Linked DNA regions of Nothobranchius furzeri. The protein of the gene in region 2 purifies or fractionates together with the protein of the main gene of each other region. This does not show direct contact. Links are inferred from orthologs where the notes say so. Each region holds a gene or a part of one and is shown on either strand. Other genes may lie near its edges. The genes, in order: hax1 and chek1.

Evidence for each region.
Region 1: the proteins of chek1 (region 2) and hax1 purify together in Homo sapiens (affinity purification with mass spectrometry; 3 studies listed by BioGRID and IntAct, with this or other methods). This does not show direct contact. The link is inferred for Nothobranchius furzeri from reciprocal best matches to the Homo sapiens genes CHEK1 and HAX1.

Annotation. Positions count from the first base shown.
Region 1 is NC_091759.1:4,224,720-4,228,642, reverse strand, and holds hax1 (HCLS1-associated protein X-1), read right to left. Parts: upstream 2,686-3,923; 5' UTR 2,572-2,685; coding exon 2,507-2,571; intron 2,300-2,506; coding exon 2,052-2,299; intron 1,940-2,051; coding exon 1,731-1,939; intron 1,649-1,730; coding exon 1,585-1,648; intron 1,508-1,584; coding exon 1,374-1,507; intron 1,200-1,373; coding exon 1,097-1,199; intron 1,018-1,096; coding exon 944-1,017; 3' UTR 789-943; downstream 1-788. Other genes in the region: aqp10b (aquaporin-10b), read right to left, coding at 253-339. UniProt on the Homo sapiens protein: Recruits the Arp2/3 complex to the cell cortex and regulates reorganization of the cortical actin cytoskeleton via its interaction with KCNC3 and the Arp2/3 complex. Slows down the rate of inactivation of KCNC3 channels. Promotes GNA13-mediated cell migration.
Region 2 is NC_091750.1:44,931,855-44,936,141, forward strand, and holds the start of chek1 (serine/threonine-protein kinase Chk1), read right to left. Parts: upstream 2,927-4,287; 5' UTR 2,830-2,926; coding exon 2,773-2,829; intron 2,611-2,772; exon of another isoform or gene 2,607-2,610; coding exon of another isoform or gene 2,586-2,606; coding exon 2,542-2,585; intron 1,884-2,541; coding exon 1,769-1,883; intron 1,047-1,768; coding exon 938-1,046; intron 807-937; coding exon 742-806; intron 673-741; coding exon 603-672; intron 522-602; coding exon 333-521; intron 1-332. UniProt on the Homo sapiens protein: Serine/threonine-protein kinase which is required for checkpoint-mediated cell cycle arrest and activation of DNA repair in response to the presence of DNA damage or unreplicated DNA.

The DNA.
Region 1 (3,923 bases), on a different chromosome or scaffold from region 2:
AAACATTTCACTAATGTTGAGATTACGAAACTACAGGATGTTATGACTCTTCTTTTTTATGAACTTCATTTCTGATTAACCCGCTTTATGGTCTGTGCTGTTAAATGGTTGTTGCTCTAGCAGGTGATCATTAGGGTCTTTTAAAATCAGGCCAAAGTTCTGCAGTTAGCTACAACTTTTATTAACTGACCCAAAACAAAAGCACACGGTTTTTAATGAATCCTGGTGAACTTTGTTAGAACCAGAACTTACAATCAGGACGTAGACCCCGAGACACTCCGCCATGCACTCCCTGACCAGCATGTTTTTGATCCGACACTTCCTCAGCAGCCTCTCCATCCTGGTTTTCCCCTCTGCAGCGTTTGGTCTCAGGTGGGTTCTCTCAGGTGGGTTCTGACCTGCTCCGTTCCGCTCCGCAGCTTATCCGTCTCAGAGCAGAGTTTGATCTTTCAGGCCTGGAGTCTCTGGCAACGTCACGGTTTATTGCAAGGCTGAGGACTTTTACTCTGCGGGACATCCTGAGCCACAAATGATCAGCTGAGTGGAATTAACTCTGATTGGGGGGTGTTAACATGGATTTCTTCTTCTCTGACTGGAAATGGACATAAAAGTTCTTAAATCTAAATTAAAATAGTTTCATTCACTCCAGATCTTTATATAATACATGGATTTATCCCTGCAGGGAATTCAGACTCCCAGATCAGAGTGGATGCTTTTGGGATGGAGTGTGAAAAAAGAAAAAAAGACACACCACGTGCCAGAGGAACTGCAAGAACAAGGCAGCTGTGTAAATATATTAAATCTTTATTGGATCCCTCTCATAACTACATCCATATTAGCTTTTCTGTGAGACGGTACAAAAATAAAATATTCAACCAAACTGATTAGTAAAGTTTCCATTTCAGCATTTTATCCATCACATTAAACGAGTCCGGGGAACATTTTATTTAAATCCACCAAAGAACTTGGAGAATAACGAGTTGTCATCCCGTAAGTCTGAGAAGGGCTGTGGGCCACCTGGGACAAACACAAACACAGGGATTAGGAACAGGGAGACAATGTTTAGATTTAAATCCCAGACTAGAAATAAACTGACCTGGAGGAACGAGTCCAATCTGAGGGTCAGGACCTCCTGAGCGAGTCACTGTGGTCTTCTCCTGGCCGTGTCCGTCTCGGATTGTCCGCCTCTCCTCTACGGTCTAATAAAAACATTTAGTGAGTTTAATTAATTCAACTTTAACCTTAAAAATATTGTGGATTTGCACTCTTGTTCATTATTTGATATTTATTGTAAGAGAATTTTACTCTTAATTTATCATTTATCTATAAAAACACTTCAATGTTGCAGGTAAAGACCGCCGAAGCACACACACCCCATCAGGTTTCACCACCTTGGTGACGGTGACCGACTGGAAGAACGACCGGGTTCTGGGCTGGCTCGGCGTCTGACCGGCAGGTGGAGTCAGAATCTGATCCAGGCCACCAGATGACACAGCAGAGTCCAGATCTGGATGGGATTCAAAAGAAAATCAACAAGGAAACTTAAATCCATAAATAATGTAACAACTTAAAACTGTAACTCGCCTCTGTCTTCTTTGATGTCATCTTCTGGAGTTTTCGGAAGTCCCTGTCTCCAAATATCATTAAACTGTTAAGAGACACACACACGCGAATTGGATCAGAACAAGGTTCAAGCAGAAAAAACAAGAGGATTAATCAGTTTCGTGTACTTTGGAGAAAGGTCTAAAGCCATGGAAAGGTGAGCGAGGGAATTCTGGAGGCTCATAGGAGGGCTGATTGCCACTGGGGCCCTCTCGGGTTGGCCCTTGTGAGTCACTGCCAGGTGATTTCAGCATAAAGTCTCTCACAGGATTCCCACTTCCCCCACCTCTCTGTGATCTGTCCTGAGGTGGTGATGGAGGCAGGATTCTGGGAACAACTAAAAATAAAAGAAAAAGAAAGAAAACTTGATTAAAAATAGTACTTTTTGTGCAACTCAATATAAAAATTATCAATGGGAGTGGGGGTGGGTCACGCGCTAACTTTCTTACCCATATGCCCAGACGTGTCCTCTTCCCAGTGGCCCAGCTGGGAGAAGATCTCCTCCATTTCTCTGAGCACGTGTCCGAACACCGGAGGCTCCTGGAACCTCATCCCGTCCGGACCAAAGCTGAAGCCGAACCTCCAGGCTCCGCCAAAAGGGTCCTGCTGGTCCCCCCTCAACCCATCGTCCCAGACCCCATCCTCGTCCTCTTCGTCCTCGTCGTCATCACGAGTCATGGCATCAAAAAATGGGTCCCTGATAAAACAAATGAATTGTCTTAAATTAATCCTGACGGACGCAATCGTATTAGTCCGTTTGAGCTCAGCTTAACGGCCATGCTAGCTGAGCGACCCCTGTGGTTTTCCTGGAAGGAAAAAGCTGTCTTACCTCACGACGGAGCTACTTCGTTACCTAACAGCACAGAGAAATATATATTTTGCTACGTTACTAACTTTGACTCACCTTCGGCCTCCATAATGTCTTCCCGGAACACCGAAGAACCCGCGAAACAAATCAAAAACACTCATTTACTGACAGAAAGCTAATTCATAACATCCACGGTTCACAGGTGCTGCGAAAAACAGCCAGTAATGTCAACAGTCGCAAAGCGTTCTGGATCCTTCCAAATGACGCAACCTGCCGCAAAACTGCCGTAAAGTTGCTTTACCGTAAATCATAAAATCAAAGCCCAGAAAGAGTACGTTGGCTCACTAATCACCTCATACCATTTGTATTTGGGATGAACGAGAACTAATCTTTTTAATCGTTCTAGTACAGACTAAAATATTGCAATTAAATGTATGAAAGAAAACAAATCTTTTAGATAAACTAAATCGAACGGCTTTATTACACTAATTACGGTAACGTTGATATTTTCTACCACTTTTGTCCATCTAGCTCTTTTTTGACAAAAATTGCATTGTAAAAAGTTTAAATGTAAATCATTTCAGTTCCCTTTAAAATTCTGTTTTATTTATTTTGGTGTAGTATACATGTAGTAAAACAAAAACAACTGAACTAATGTTAACTGACAACTAGACGGCCGTAGTTATCCTGAAAAGAGGGAACACAAAATAACACATCAAAATTATATGGGTTTATCTGTTGGCATCCTGTAAATAAACTAATATATAAACCACAACTCCACAAAAATCACCCAACAGCATTTATAAATAAAGCTAATCTGTGCTAAACGAAGAAATGCTGCTACATCCACAAGCCACAAGAAATTGTTTATTAAAAGACATTAACATCCAAAATGATGAAAACGTCTTTGTTTATTTACTTAATATTTATATATTTTTACAAAATAAAAAAATGAAACAAAAAAGCTAACAAGTCTGCAAGAATTTGAAAAGGAAAAAAAGAAGAAAGCCATTGACGGACAGGGACTACAGTACTTGTGTTTTTATATATGTACAAGACAATTTTATCCATTTAAATCTTTTAAAACGCACAGTACAAAAAGGAAAATAATAAACCACTGACAAAAAGAGTACAATTCTGTCCATCAGTGTTCAACGCTGCAGGTTTCCTTACAATGTTGGGGGTCAAGGAGGTGAAGCGGGGTGGGGGGGGGGTGGGGGGGGCGCAGATTGTGTCTGTGACCCTTTAAATCATTCTTTCAAAATAAGACCAGCCATAAGCAAAGTTGTTTCTGATTCAGGGGGACAGTAACTGTACAACTGTTGGATAACAAAAACCCAGAAACAAACATGCACGCAGTCACATGACCAACACACTCCTCACAGTCTGAGCCACTGAGCTTTGTTTAATGTCTTTATATATAATATATCTATATCTGGTAAAAAATAAACTTCACAACTCTTCCAATTCAGAGAAACGTTTCTTCAAACTTAAAACGACAAAAAAAGTTGAA
Region 2 (4,287 bases):
CAGCTCTTTAGCACGTGAGAGACAGTTTACTTCTACTTTCCCCATTTGTGACATCACAAACAGGGACTTTCTGAAACGGCTTGTTTTAGGCACATAAAACCTAAAAACCACACGAACAGAAAACAGATGGATGGATTTTTTTTCCATGTTTGGAGAGTTTACAGAGCCAGTCGAGACCCACATGGTAGCACAAAAGTTCGATTTTGCATAATATGTCGCCTTTAAGTTATTAATTCAAATTATGAAAGTATAGAGCATTGATCGGGATGATTAGTCTGTTACACTAAAACCCCCTGAAAGACAGCGGGTGCCTGGACCGTGTGGGATCTCACCTCCAGCTAGCATGGCCGTCAGGACGATGCCACAAGCCCAGATGTCTGCAGGCTGAGCACTATACTCTGATTGGCTGAGAAGTTCTGGAGCAACGTAGGGAAGAGTCCCACAGAGTCGGTTCAGCTGGCGCTCACGTCCTTTGAACCGAAACATGGTGGCTAGGCCAAAATCAGTCAGCTTTAAGTTGTCTAAAGGTTAGAAGATAAAAAAAAATGATGCATGGTTATGAGAAATCATTAAAAAAAAACTGTGGCACTCTATTTGCCCACCTTTGTCATCCAGCAAAATGTTTTCGGGCTTTATGTCTCTGTGGGTGATGCCAAGGCTGTGGAGGTACTCCTGAGAAGAAGCAAATAAAAGAATAAAAAAAGAGCCCGAATCAGGCAAACAACACAAACATTCACCCACCACAGCTGACATTAGCTGCTGGAAAAACCTGTGAGCATCCCTCTCTGGCATTCCCACATCAGGCTCTAAAACACCAGAAAGACAAGAACTCGAGTTAGGCAGGAACTAGTTAAGATAATAAACTGATCTGCACTTCACAGACACCAACAGTCTGCTGCAAAAATACAGTTTTATCAGAGAGCCCGCAGTGTTTTACCGATCCGGTCAAACAGCTCTCCTCCGGTGCAGTACTCCAGAAACAGATAAACAGTCGCTCCTTCTTTCCGATGCCCAAAAAACTTCACAATGTTGGGATGGTTGAGCATCTGACAAAGAACAAGGTTGTATTTTTAATCACTGATTAGGGCTGCACGATATTAGGAAAACATGCAATGTCCGATAGTGATTAATATTGCGATGATGATATTACTTGCAATAAATAATAACTTAACTCAGGAACTAAAATAATAAAAAAAAATATATATATAAATAAATTTTAAAAATGACAAAAAATTTCTTCAAAATGACAAAAGCAAAAGATGTGAAGAAAAGACAATCAGTGGAACCCGGGAAAAGCAGAATCAGCAAAAAGAGCAGAAAAAAGCTAACTTAAGGTGTTTGCTAACCATCAAAATTAAGTGCCGTCCGCCTCGGGGGCGGGCATCTAACCTATGAGAACCCATCCAATTGGCCAAATGGGTGAAAAGCTGTTTTATTTGTTAAAAAAACATCACACTTCCGTTTGATTGACAGAACGCATTATGTGTAGCAAACATTTGACCCGGACCCGAATAAGCGGAGGAAGATGAAGACGAAACATTTGAGCTGACCATTCATTGCAATATTTATCTGTTCTTTGCGATATGCATATTGCACATGCTGATATCGCGATAACGATATATTTACGATATATTGTGCGGCCCTATCACTGATTTCAAACGTTGAACCAGCACACTTTGTTTATTTCTAAAATCAGAACAGAAGTGTTTGACTTAAAAATCCTCAGAAGAAGGTAAATGTGTTTTCTGCAGCTCAGTAAGACAGGTACCTTATGGACGCAGACCTCCTTTTTCACGTTGTCTGCACACTCTTTAGACTGAGAGGTATCGACGACTTTCACTGCCACTGCCTCTTCAGTGTGTCTGTTCACCAGCAGCCTCACTCTGAAAGAGCATGGTTCAGAACAAAAAGAGAAATAAATCAGAATTTCTATAAGAAAGAAAATAGAACAGACTTTTGGAGTAAAACAAAAACTAGAAACGCACCGGAACCGGACAAATGTCAGCCTGATTAGCTAAACTGGTGATTGACCAACCCAAAACTCTACTTTTCGGATGAGTGAACGCAATAGAAATGACTGGTCCATGAACTCACCATCAGCCCTTTTCTTTAAGATCAGTAAATGCCGCAGATATCGGCCTACAAAATCACAACCGGTGCACATCTGATAAAGGTGATGTTTTTTTTTTTTCCTATTTTTACTTCACCCTGTGTCTTAATGATTTTTAGCTGTTATTTTTGGGAATTTTGTTGTATTTCCTTTTTATCTTTTATCTGTGTTCGACATGTTTATATAACGCCTGTTTAATTAACCAACATTTTTAGTGTACAGCGCCTTGTTTGGTTGTAATGCCTTGTGAATGCGCTTTATAAATAAAATTGGATTGGATGGTGTGAATTACAACGTGCATTTAACCAGAACTTAATTATTAAACAAAAGTAGCTTGAGTAAAGAAAAACGCAGCTCGACTTTAACCTGCATTAAGGTTTGGTGCAGCATTTAGCCCAGCAGCTACTGAACTATATATATGATGTTCTTACTCTCCATATGCTCCTTCTCCCAGAGTCTGAACGAGGTCCCAGTCCTGGACAAAAGGCACCGCCATGATGCTTCAGTAAACACAAAACACACAACACGTATGTAACGTGTATAAAAAAAACTCATCATTAAAGACAAACAGCGCCAAACTTTAACGTTTGCAGGATGTGAAGCAGCGCTAATGTCACGATGCCTCCATATCTGTTCAGCGATGATTCATGTGACTGTCTTACCTCCACCGCCTTTTCCCTGAGCTGCGTTTCCCACATGTGACGAGTCACAAAACACATTTATTCTAACTCCGCCATGGATGTGCATCTGTGATAAAGGGGCACAAATTTGGCGCCTTGTTGTTTTACCGGAGACATTGCGTCATTTCCTCTTTTTCTTCTACGCTTTTGCAGGAAACCTACAGCAAGCGCACACTTCCGCCCCCCTCTGGTGAAATAGTACACAGCACCCAATCATCCACCTGGTTCTCCCTGAGCTGTTCAAAGATTAATGAATGAAAGCCGCTGCTGCCTGCACACAAAGGACTGTAGGTCAAAGCATACTCAGCACAGGACATGCAGATATACATTTTACAGACCACACTTGCATTGTAGGACGTTTTTATCTGCCATGTAGAATAAAATATGCCGCTATAATACCCATTCTGTTGTGCACATTGTCCATGAATTGTCGTATGAATTTCAAAAGTGTGATATGGCGCAACTTTGCACCATTTGTTTATTTATTGTTTGTGACATCACAAACAGGGACTTTTTGAAACAGCTTGTTTTAGGAACATAATTCCTAAAACCAAACACTGACAGTAAATGGATGGAGTGTGATTTTCCAACCTTCTGTTTGAGAAACTGAACAGAAAAATTCTTTGCTAAATCCTGGAGGAATAGAGATCTAGACCGATCCTTTGTGAGTGGATAATTTTTTTGGGAAAAGGGCTCAAAAATGTGTTCAGTCCATGAAATGAAATGTGTTGTTTTTGACAGCTATTATCTAAAAATCTAAGTGTGTAAAATATGTATCAGACGGATGAGCTGTTACCAGGCGTGTCCAGTAGAGAGAGTGAGAGAAAGCATCTCAGAGTTGGAAACCTCAACATCATACATCTGTGTTAAATGTAGATCAGCCACAAGAGACACAAAGATGATATGATGCGCGGTTGAAAACATCCAAGCACCAAACTGAGACAATATCAGTAAAGGATATACTTTTTCTTTCAGTGACTAACCTCTTATTATACATATGAGATTAATCTTCCAGGTGATCAAGAAGAAAATTTACGTAATTACCTGCTTAGCTCATGTAGAATGAGAAGAAAAACAATCGAGATTCCAGTTTGGTTCTTTCTAGTGTTTCATCAATAAATAACTCAACATGTCAACAAAGCTCAAGTGTTTGAGGGTGTGTTAGTGACATTGAGAGGTGGAATGTTATGAAGTGGTTACTTTTAATAAAATTTCAACTAAATATAAAAGTATTCAATAAAAATATGGATTAGCAATGTTATTGAACCTTTAATATTTGATTGATGATGAAACTAGGTACTTTGGATATGCCAGGGAACCAAAACCTTATAATAATTTGACACAGAGGCAAAAATGTAGTTTATAAAAATCTATTTATTACTATATTTCTAATACTAGGATGACGCAGGAGAAATGATTATAAATGGTGATATAACCCTTCCACTGTCTTTACGGGTGACCCCGCGAGGGAAGTTGACTATTGAGCAGGGTTGATGG